Ovis aries: one gene and its partners. The protein of the gene in region 1 interacts with the protein of each later gene in a pairwise test. Links are inferred from orthologs where the notes say so. Each region holds a gene or a part of one and is shown in the gene's direction. Other genes may lie near its edges.

The links.
Region 2: the proteins of SMARCE1 (region 1) and RALBP1 interact in binary tests that used the Homo sapiens proteins (3 or more experiments, as listed by UniProt). The two-hybrid records come from large-scale screens. The link is inferred for Ovis aries from reciprocal best matches to the Homo sapiens genes SMARCE1 and RALBP1.
Region 3: the proteins of SMARCE1 (region 1) and CDR2 interact in binary tests that used the Homo sapiens proteins (3 or more experiments, as listed by UniProt). The two-hybrid records come from large-scale screens. The link is inferred for Ovis aries from reciprocal best matches to the Homo sapiens genes SMARCE1 and CDR2.

The regions. Positions count from the first base shown.
Region 1 is NC_056064.1:40,602,566-40,606,858, reverse strand, and holds the start of SMARCE1 (SWI/SNF-related matrix-associated actin-dependent regulator of chromatin subfamily E member 1), read left to right. Parts: upstream 1-1,493; 5' UTR 1,494-1,538; intron 1,539-3,740; 5' UTR 3,741-3,785; coding exon 3,786-3,792; intron 3,793-3,968; coding exon 3,969-4,012; intron 4,013-4,293. UniProt on the Homo sapiens protein: Involved in transcriptional activation and repression of select genes by chromatin remodeling (alteration of DNA-nucleosome topology).
Region 2 is NC_056076.1:42,133,073-42,136,800, forward strand, and holds part of RALBP1 (ralA-binding protein 1), read left to right. Parts: intron 1-2,405; 5' UTR 2,406-2,458; coding exon 2,459-2,702; intron 2,703-3,728. UniProt on the Homo sapiens protein: Multifunctional protein that functions as a downstream effector of RALA and RALB. As a GTPase-activating protein/GAP can inactivate CDC42 and RAC1 by stimulating their GTPase activity.
Region 3 is NC_056077.1:20,559,463-20,562,086, reverse strand, and holds part of CDR2 (cerebellar degeneration-related protein 2), read left to right. Parts: intron 1-823; coding exon 824-972; intron 973-1,229; coding exon 1,230-1,394; intron 1,395-2,461; coding exon 2,462-2,624.

The DNA.
Region 1 (4,293 bases):
AGGCTGCCCATTATCCTTTGATGACCTCTTTTCCCTTTCATATGCTCTTTAGTTTCACTAATCTCTAATCATGAACATGAAAATATTGGAGGTGGAAGAACTGGACAGAGGGTCACTTGTCCCTGGCTTTGCATACTTCTGGAGATACCCTAGTCCCTGCTGGCACACCCAGGATGGTGGCTAAGGGTAGCTGAAGAATCAAGTCATTCTAAACGTCAACACCATTCTCAAGTGATTTCAGATCCTTCCCCTCTCTGCAGTGGCGCACGTCGGTCAAGTGTTTATGTATCCAAGGAGAGGCTGCTATCTAGTACATCAACGTGGTCATGATTTAGTGAAAAGAGTCCTGGACTAGACCATAGCCTGCCTCAATATAGATTTACTGAGCTTCTTACAATGGTTCAAGGCCTTACTGGGCACTGGCTATAGGAAGATGACCAATGCAGACCGCTGAATTTTTGCTTTCAAGGCTCTCATAGAGTACTGAGAATAACAAACACAGTCTGATACAATGTATTAGGTAAAGGCCATAATTGTTAATTTGGGAGGAGGAGGGGCGCGTGAGGCAGGGAGTTCCCGGAGGGCATCAGGGACAGAATTTGAGCTGGATCCGGAAGGACAGATGAGTTTAAACCCAAAAGTGAAGGACTGTCGTTCCTGGCAGAGGAAACCGAATGAGCCAAGGCGCTTTAGGACACAGACCCCTTGCCCAGCGCTGCAGGGACACACAACCGGGGGCAAGGAGATTTACATCTCCGGGCCTTGGCTCAGAAACCTGTGACAATTACACCAGCCTTGCGCTTGGGAACAGCTGGGAAGATCTGCGCTGCTTTCGCCAAAGCTCTTGCCCGCGGTTAAGGCAGGAAGCCCTGGGAGGCGCGCAGGAGGACGGAAACTGTAAACCCGGCTCTCCACGCCTCCATCCTCGGCTTGGTGAAGTATATACACTCCAGCTCCCAGAGAAAGAGTCAAGAAAAAGACCGGAAGGGAAAAAAAACCCAGAAACTCTCGGGGGCAGGGACGGGGGGCGTGCGCGGCCTGAGCCCGGCCGGGGTGGTGCGCGGGCCGCGCGGCCACAGAGGTTCCGGGGCTGGCGACCGGGCGCGCTCCCCGCCGCCTTCCGGCCCCGCGCGGGGAAGCTGAGGCCGCGCTCGCGCCCCCCCTCGGCTCAGCCTCGCGCCTCCCGCCGCGCCTCCCGTCCCCGCTCCGGCTCGCTGGGGGCCGCGCGGCCGGGCCTACCCGCGGCCGGGCCACCTCCTCCCTCTCCGGAGTGACGAATCGGCGCCCGGCTGGCAAAGTACTGACTTTCGGGGAGTTTTGAGGAGCGTATGGAGCCTGAAAAAAATCCTTGACTGTGCTAAACACCACCGCGTCCCCACGAGAACGCTTATTTTCCTGAAGAGAGTCGGGTGGGGCCTGGAAAGGAATTAAGAAGAGTGTTGAAAGTGCGAGCGCGGAAGCTCGGGACGCGAGGGGCGGGGCGTGCGCGGGACAAAGGGAAGCGAGGCCGGAGCTGCGGGCGCTTCTTCTGCCCGCGGGTGAGTGTTTCCGACTGGGCCCGGCTGGGTCGGGAGGGTGGAGAGGCGTGGGGTCCCGGCTTGGCTGGGGTTGCTGAGGGTTGCTGGGGTTCAGGCTTGGCCGCGGGACCAGGGCCGGGGGCCGGCTGCGGCCTCTTTGAGGCCTAGCGGAGCGAGGGTGGGGAGAGAGTCCCATCTGGGGCTCCTCTTGGGCGGCCAGAAGTGCCCCTTCCACTAACCCCACGGAAGTGGTCAAGGCGCTTCTGCATGCTCCTCTTCAGTAGAGTAGCTGGTAAAGTGCACCTACACATCAAACCAAACCGAATCGGTCTCAGAGGAAGCCCTTGGGGCAAGCTAAGCCCGTGGTCCTCACCCCCAGGAAGATGGTTTCCCCTTGCCCAGGCAGCGATCTGAGGACTCACGGTGTGGCTTGGAGTGAAAAGCGAAAGCTGGGCAACAGTTTGGCCTGGGTTTGAAACCCAGCTCTGACACTTCCTGACTCTGTGTCTTGAGCCAAGTTACTTATACTGAACGAGACTCCTTTTTTCCCTCTGTAAAATGGCAATAGCAGTACACACCTCGTTGGTAGTGTGACTGTTAAACCAGATGGTGTGAAAGTAGTAAGCCTGTCCCGTATAAGGTATTCAACAAATAACTTCTCCAGGATTTTATGCCAGGCACCGGAGATGCATACAGTGGTGGACAATTGTACGAGATCACTCTTGAAATTTATGGTATAGCAAAAGAGACCAGTAATTTTAGAGTGTTAATAAAATGTGACACACCTGGGAGCTTGTGGCAGATATTATCAGGGCCCCCCACAGCAAGGCCTACTGGATGTTGACAGCCCACCCAAGCTTGAGCAGGAAGGAAATCTGCATTAGACTCTGGTGTCCTGCATGTACCTTAAGGAGAGAGGGAGACCCAGGTTGGGCCATTGAGAAAATAAATGATTTCTTTCTTTCCACACCAGGCCTCTTACTCATAATGCTCCAGAAATGCCCTTAAAATACAAAACAGGAGCAAAAAAAAAATCATGTTTGTTTCTCATAATGTCGGATGAAAATACTCTAGTAGTCATAGAAGTTATTTGCCTTTTTTGTGAAAATGAATGTTCATCTCTTTGTACACATGGTGTGTAATGTATAGTGAGGTAAGGAACAAGTTCACGTGTGTGTGGTCATGTCCTGAGCTAGTGTTACTAGGACTGAAGTTGGTAAAAATTGAGCTAGGTACTGGGACAGCAATAATGAACTAGCTGGTCCCTGTCTCCATTCAGCCCCCATATTAGCAGGTGTAATATGATATTGATCTGTGTAAATTGGAGTACAAATGAGGAAACATTTAATTTTGTACAGATAGGTCCAGAAGTCTCCATTGAGGAGATATATTTTGAGTTGAGCTAAGAAAGATCAATAAGAGTTTTTTCCAGTAGACTCTCGAAATTTATTCCCAGCGGTTATGAAGCTGTTTACCATCATGTTGTTTTTTAGTGGCTCAGTTGTGTCTGACTCTTGCGACCCCATGGACTATAGGGTACCAGGCTCCTCTCTCCATGGGATTCCCCAAGGGAGAATACTGGAGTGGGTTCCCATTTCCTTCTCCAGGAGATCTTCCCAACCCCGGGATTGAACTCAAGTCTTCTGCGTTGGCAGGCGGGTTCTTTTACCGCTGAGCCACCAGGGAAGCTCCATTACTCCTATAAGAGAATGTGAAGTTTCTTGTCACACCAGTTACCTTTTCCACTGCCTTCAGGAGTAAAATGCTGTTTTACTAGAAAGAAGTTGTTATCCTAAAAGGAAGGCAGAGCTGTGGCTGGTCATGGAGCTGTCAGTGTCTGGTAGGCCTTGTTGAGGTAGGCCCCAATAATACATCATATTCTTTTGTCATTGTATTTTTACCGATTTGATTAAATGTTTACATGGCATCAGCGAAACGTTTTCCATACAAGAGGTGGCTCAGTATCAAAAAAAAACAAAAACTTGCAAGTACATGTCTAATTTTACTTTTTAATATCCCCTGTCATTTGTTTTAGTCATTTAATTCTGATCAACTGAGTGACCTAAAGAACTAGTAAAATATTTAAAAGGCTTGATTACTAGAAGATAATGTAATTTTACAAAGAAATATCAAACTACCCTATTCTTTAGAAAAACATTCTCTTATGCTTGCTGAGTTTTGATTATCTTTATTTTTCTTTTTTTTTCCTTTTTTTTATTTTAGTGTCTCAGATTCATTCTTAAGGAACTGAGAACTTAATCTTCCAAAATGTCAAGTAAGTTTCATTTTTTATATTTATCAATCTATATTAATAAGAGACTAATGCCCTAGCAAATGGGAATTCCAAAATACTCTCATTTTTTTTTCTTCAAAACAGGACCATTGGTAGTTTTGTTGCATAGTATTATATCTCAGTTGTTTACAAGAAGTTATTTATTTTCTTTCAAACAGAAAGACCATCTTATGCCCCACCTCCCACCCCAGCTCCTGCAACAGTAAGTTTTAATTTTCTTGTTAATGTAATAGCCAAGTCTGGCCTTGATACAAAAACCCAGATGTCTTCCAGTGACAGTCACTCAATCATTACAGCAACAGGATGAAAAATTCAGCTAAAAAACAGCACTTCCTACTAAATAAAATAACTCTGCATCTTACCTTGAACCAACCCCAACATTTAAAGAAACATACTACTGAAATGCCAACCTCCTATGCTCAGTTCTTTTTTTAATTAGAAATAAGTGGCAAGTTTAACACTTTTCTTGTTCATCTCTATTAA
Region 2 (3,728 bases), on another chromosome or scaffold:
GCTCAAAATAAAAGGAGATCTTTCTCTCCCTCCTCTTTCACAGCTTCGGAGACTTAACAATGGTTTACTGTGTCAGAGATGGCTTGTGTGTGACTTTATGTTCCATTATTTGGATCAAGCCTAATTCAATGTGTCTTTCATTGATAGCCATTTAGATTTTGCTGTCTTTGCTTTCACAGTGCTAAAATGATTATTTTCATGTGCACATCTTTGAGTGCTTATAAAAGGATGTCTGAAGGATAAGTTCCTAAAAAGAGGAATTCTTAGATCAAAGAGAGCACATTTAAAACTTTGATAGATTTTGCCAAGTTGCTTTTCAGAAAAGACTGTGCTGGTTTATACTTCAGCTGTTGGTGGATATTCTCCCTTAGTGGATATTCACACCCTTACCAGCACTTGGTATATTATAGACCCTTTTTTGTTCTTTGCCAGTCTGATGTTATAAAAATTCTAACTTACCGTCTTATGTTCTTAAAAATTGCAATTGTACTTGAATGTTATTTTCATGTGGATATTAGTCATTTTCCTGTGAACTGCTTCACATTCTTGCTATGCTGAAATTTTCATTGATTTGTGAGAACTCTGCTTTTTAGAAAAGTTCGCTGTCATAATTTACACTTTTTTTTCACATTTGCTTGTCTTTTGACTTTGTTTATGGTCAGATTTATCAGTTATCACTTGTATTTGTGTGTTTTTAAAATTTCAAAATCACCTTCAGTTCAGTTCAGTTGCTCAGTCGTGTCCGACTCTTTGCGACCCCCTGAATTGCATCACGCCAGGCCTCCCCGTCCATCACCAACTCCCTGCGTTCACTCAAATTCACATCCATCGAGTCGCTGATGCCATCCAGCCATCTCATCCTCTGTTGTCCCCTTCTCCTCCTGCCCCCAATCCCTCCCAGCATCAGTCTTTTCCAATGATTCAACTCTTCGCATCAGGTGGCCAAAGTACTGGAGTTTCAGCTTTAGCATCATTCCTTCCAAAGAACACCCAGGACTGATCTCCTTTAGAATGGACTGGTTGGATCTCCTTGCAGTCCAAGGGACTCTCAAGAGTCTTTTCCAACACCACAGTTCAAAAGCATCAGTTCTTCGGCACTCAGCTTTCTTCACAGTCCAACTCTTAACATCCATACATGACTACTGGGAAAACCATAGCCTTGACTAGACGAACCTTTGTTGGCAAAGTAATGTCTCTGCTTTCCAATATGTTATCTAGGTTGGTCATAACTTTCCTTTCAAGGAGTAAGCGTCTTTTAATTTCATGGCTGCAATCACTGTCTGCAGTGATTTTGGAGCCCAAAAAATAAAGTCTGACACTGTTTCCCATCTATTTCCCATGAAGTGATGGGACCAGATGCCATGGTCTTCGTTTTCTGAATGTTGAGCTTTAAGCCAACATTTTCACTCTCCTCTTTCACTCTCATCAAGAGGCTTTTTAGTTCCTCTTCACTTTGTGCCTTAAATCAGTGCAAAGAGAAACAAGTGATTCTGGTAGTTTTTCAGATGAATATTATAAAAACATTAAAGAGGAGTAAGAACTAACATAATTCACTTTTGAGCATGGTACTTAAACTGTGTACCGTTGTGTAATGAAGAAGAAAAATGTGAACAGATCTTGAGCTTTTCTTACATTTGTACCTTTTTATTATTTCTTAAAAAATTTTTATTATTGAAATATAGCTGGATTACAAAGTTGTGTTAATTATTGCTGTGCAGCACCGTGGTTCAGTTATACACATATACCCAGGCATATATATTCTTTTTCATACTTTCCGTTCTGGTTTATCACATGATATTGAGTACAGTTCCTGTGCTGCACAGTAGAACCTTGGTATTTATCCACATTTGTCCTTTGTGGTGTCCATTCTAGCAAAACTGTTTTGTGTGCAGTTTAGGAATGAGCAAGTGAGTTTCTCCCTCTGTTAGCTGTATCAACACGTGGATTGCCTACTGCAGTATGTAACTGCAGCTAATGATCTGAACCTGTGTGAGTCACTACATCTGTCACTGTTTTGTAAATTTTACTAATGACACTGAACTGTTCATGTGTAGTTATATAAAGAGTCTTGTTACTCATGGTTGTTTGGTCATAACTTAAGAAAAATTAAGGTTTCTGTTGGATAGCAATCGAAATGAAACCTCTTACAGCGGTGGGCTCTTTTTGGGAGAAACTCTGCCCTGCCTTGATGTCCTATGTCCTTTCATTTGGTTAATTTTCCTCACACTTGAAGATCCAGTGCTTTCAGCTTTTTGAGAACTGACGTGCATGTGTGAGGCACAAATGCAACTCAAGATGACAAAACCAGCGACGGTTCTTGAGGGGGGTTTGCCGAGCTGTGTGTCTGTCTGCTGCTCCTGGGTGCTGGTGGCCACCAGGTGATCGTGATGCTCTGTCTCCCGCAGGTGTGATGGATAGGTGACCGAGAAGCCCTGCTCGCTGTCATCAGGGAGGCAGCATGACCGAGTGCTTCCTGCCCCCCACCAGCAGCCCCAGTGAGCACCGCAGGGTGGAGCATGGCGGCGGGCTCACACGCACCCCCAGCTCCGAGGAGATCAGCCCCACCAAGTTTCCCGGGCTGTACCGCACGGGCGAGCCCTCACCCCCCCACGACAGCCTCCACGAGCCTCCCGATGTAGTGTCTGACGATGAGAAGGACCATGGGAAGAAGAAAGGAAAGTTCAAGAAAAAGGAAAAAAGGAGTAAGTGCCGTTTCCTCTGTGCTGTGGCTTTACTCTAGATAAATATCTGCTCTAGTCACGTGTACCTGCCATCCTATATCCAGGGACTCCTGCTTTATATTTTCTTTTCAGGGTCTCAGTTTTTGTATTTTAGGGTCTTACTGTTGCAAGTAAAAATACTGAATTTCCAGAAGTGGTAAAGTTTTCTGGTGGAGGTTTCTTAAGTTGGTTTTTTAAAATAATGTATGAAAAATAATTGTTGAAATTTTGTGCTTATGGAGTCTCACTGTCTTGGTGAGGTTGTGTAGGCCAGTTGGGGCACATAGTAAAAGATAGTGTATTTGTTTTCTTAAGCAGAGGCCACGACACGCCCATATGGGATTCCTGTTCTGTAGGGAGGATGATAGCTTTCTATTATTGGGTTGGCCGGAAAGTTCAGGTTTTCCTGTACAATGTTACAGAAAAACTCAAATGAACTTTTTGGCCACCCCAGTATCATGTTCTTTTGCCATTCTGGTTGGTGTGGAGTTCGTGGTATTTTAACTAGAGGGAAATTTATGCAGTACCTTTAATCTCTGTTATAGAATCTCTATTATTAATTTCTATTTTAGCTTGTAAGATATTAGGGTAAAGAAAAGAACAGGAGAGTTTTAGATGTTTAAAAAAAACCCAAAAAACAAGGAAGCCAAACTAGGGCAGCTCTGATATTGAGTAGCTGTCAGTGTGAAACCCAGGCTTCTGACTCGGGCATGGCTGACACTCGAGGTTAGGGGTTTCCTGGTTGGTCCTCCGCAGAGGAAGCTCCATCCGTGCTGCTGCCCCAGAAGGAACTTACCAGCCAGAGACCCGGGAGCCAGATGCGGTGGGGAGGAAAAGATCACCTACACAGTCCTGCATCTCCAATTGTGACTGGAGATGGCTTCAGATTCCAGGCACCAAATAGAAAAACCTAAGCTAAGAGAAGTGTAGGTTAGAGGATGTTCTTCCGACTGTGCAGGAATGTTGTGTCTGATGGTGGGATTCTTTCCAAATAATTTGAAATAATAA
Region 3 (2,624 bases), on another chromosome or scaffold:
AAACTTTGATGATGTGTTCCAAGCGTTTTCTCTTGTGGGATTATCATATCTTGCCTAGATTTTCCTGTCAAATATTAATTTTATGTGTGTTTTGTGCTTTATAAAAGTAGACCAGCCTAAACTGTATTGGTGAGCTTTAGGGGAACTAAACATATAAAGGACGGCCTGTACTCAGCTCCTTTTAAGAAAAGTAGTTTAACTGAGATTTGAAGTTCTTCATTTCGTAAAATAAACTTGTGGTATTGTGGTATAATGAAAACTATATATTCGACCTTTGTCCCCATGTCCTGAATCCCTCGGAATTTCCTGAATGATAGAATGAGACTGCTCACCAGAGGAGCCGACCACATGATTAGAGGGTTAGAACTTTCAGCCCCGTTGCCAGCCTCTGCAGAGGGGTCAGGGACTGGAATCAAGTTTGTTCACCAGTGGCCCATGATTTAATTAATCATGCCTGTGCCATGAAGCTTCAGTAAAACTCTAAAAGGAGACCAAGAGGTTTCCAGGGAGGGTGGTGCATCTGAGAATAAAACTGTAAGTAAATCCCTTTCCCAAGCTCTGTGTGTTGTTTTAGCAGATTATTGAATGTGAGAGGAGGTCATGGGAATTCCCTAATTTATAGTTGTTTGGTTGAAAGGACGGGTGGTCCCTAGGACTTACCTCTGGTACCTGAATTGGGGGCAGTTTTGTGGAACTGAGCCCTTATCACTCCAGGTGGTGTCAGAATTGAAGTGAATTGCAGGATGCATTCTGTATTATACCTGGAATACTGCAGGTATCCCACATGTTTAATGTGTAACCTGGTCACAATTATCTCTTCCAGTATCTGACCAAGCAGGTGGAGCTTCTGCGGCAGATGAATGAACAGCATGCAAAGGTTTATGAGCAATTAGACGTCACAGCGAGGGAACTGGAAGAAACAAATCAAAAGCTCGTTGCTGACAGCAAGGCCTCACAGCAAAAGATTCTGAGGTAAATTCTTTAGAATCTGTTGAAGAAGCCCTAGGGGAAGTCATTTAGTATAAACTAGAATAGAACATGGCTGTAGTGGGTTCAGGTCAGTGTGGGGTAAGCTTTAATTTAATTCTCTATGGAGAATAGAGATTAAATAGAAGTCTTTTCCAATTACAAAAGCCCAGTTTGAGTGGTTGCCAACTAAGCTCTCCTCACTGCTTATGCCTTTAATTTAATATGACAAGCTGCAATTGGCTTCTGTCTGTTCCTCACAGTCTGACTGAAACGATTGAATGCCTGCAAATGAACATTGATCACCTCCAGAGCCAAGTGGAGGAGCTGAAATCATCCAGCCAAAGGAGAAGGAGCCAGGGGAGGCATGACCAGGAGAAATCGGCCCCCAGCTTCTCGTCTTTGAAAGAGCTGTATGACCTCCGCCAGTAAGAGCCCACCTTCCATTTGCAAGCAGGAGAACATCTCGTGTCATTGGCACATTCTGGATCCCAGTAGATTAAAAGTACCCTTTTAGGAAATGCCGCTTGGCTATTAGACCACCAGTGGTTTGAACAAAACCACTTAAACATACATGTGATAGTTTTTGTTGTTGTTGTTGTTGTTTAGTCCAATTGAAATTTCAGTAAAACAAAATCCAGGCAAACAGAAGGCTTTTTTTTTTTTTTTTTTTTTCCTGAAGAAAAGCCTTTTACAATTTAGACTTTGGAGATTGAATCTTCATTTAAGAACTATTTCTTGAACACCTGTGGTAAGGCAGGTGCTATGCCAGATGTGAGGAGTGGTGAGCAAAACAGACACAGTTTCTGCCCTCATGGAGCTTTCAGTCTCAGGAAGAGGCAGGTAGCAAATAAGTACAGTTACAAGTTGCCCAGGACTCTGACCAGGAGAGAGACCAGCTCGTGCATTTGGTGGGCCTCAACTTGACTGTTCAGATCGCCATCAGGCCTAATCAGAATCTCTAGGTATGAGTGAAAGGCTATTCAGGTGATTCTGATGTCTGTCTGTTCTTGGTTTAAAATCACCGCAGCAATGGTTCTCAGTCTTAGCTGCATATTATGAATCATAGGAAGAGCTTTAAAAAATACACACCCTCTAGTTCATGTGGCAGACCAGCTAGGTCAGCATCTGTGGGGGTGGGACCCAGGCGTCAGTATGTTTTAGGACTGCCCAGGTGATTCTAATCTGCAGCCAAGATTGAGCACCACTGGCTGTTCTGATCTCCTTGAACAGTCTCAGTCATACTACTGGTCTTTGGGAATGGATGTTCTATAGCATTTTTAATGTTTTAAAAAAAAATTAATTACACAAGATGTGTGTTCCTCCATGTGTTGTCAGCCTCACACATTCGTTTTAGCCGCTGCTCTAGGGTGGAATAGGCAAAAAATCAGTCATATCACAGCTCCTCAAAAATATGTAGTTGGAAAAAAATCATCAGCCTCCCTCTTTGCCTTCTCAGTCGGCCTGTGTAAGAGTCTTTCAATATTTCCCCCAGGCACTTCGTGTACGATCATGTGTTTGCCGAGAAGATCACTTCCTTACCAAGTCAGCAAAGCCCCGATGAGGAAGAAAATGAGCATTTGAAGAAAACAGTGACAATGCTGCAGGCCCAGCTGAGCCTGGAGCGGCAGAAGCGGGTGACCATGGAGGAGGAATAC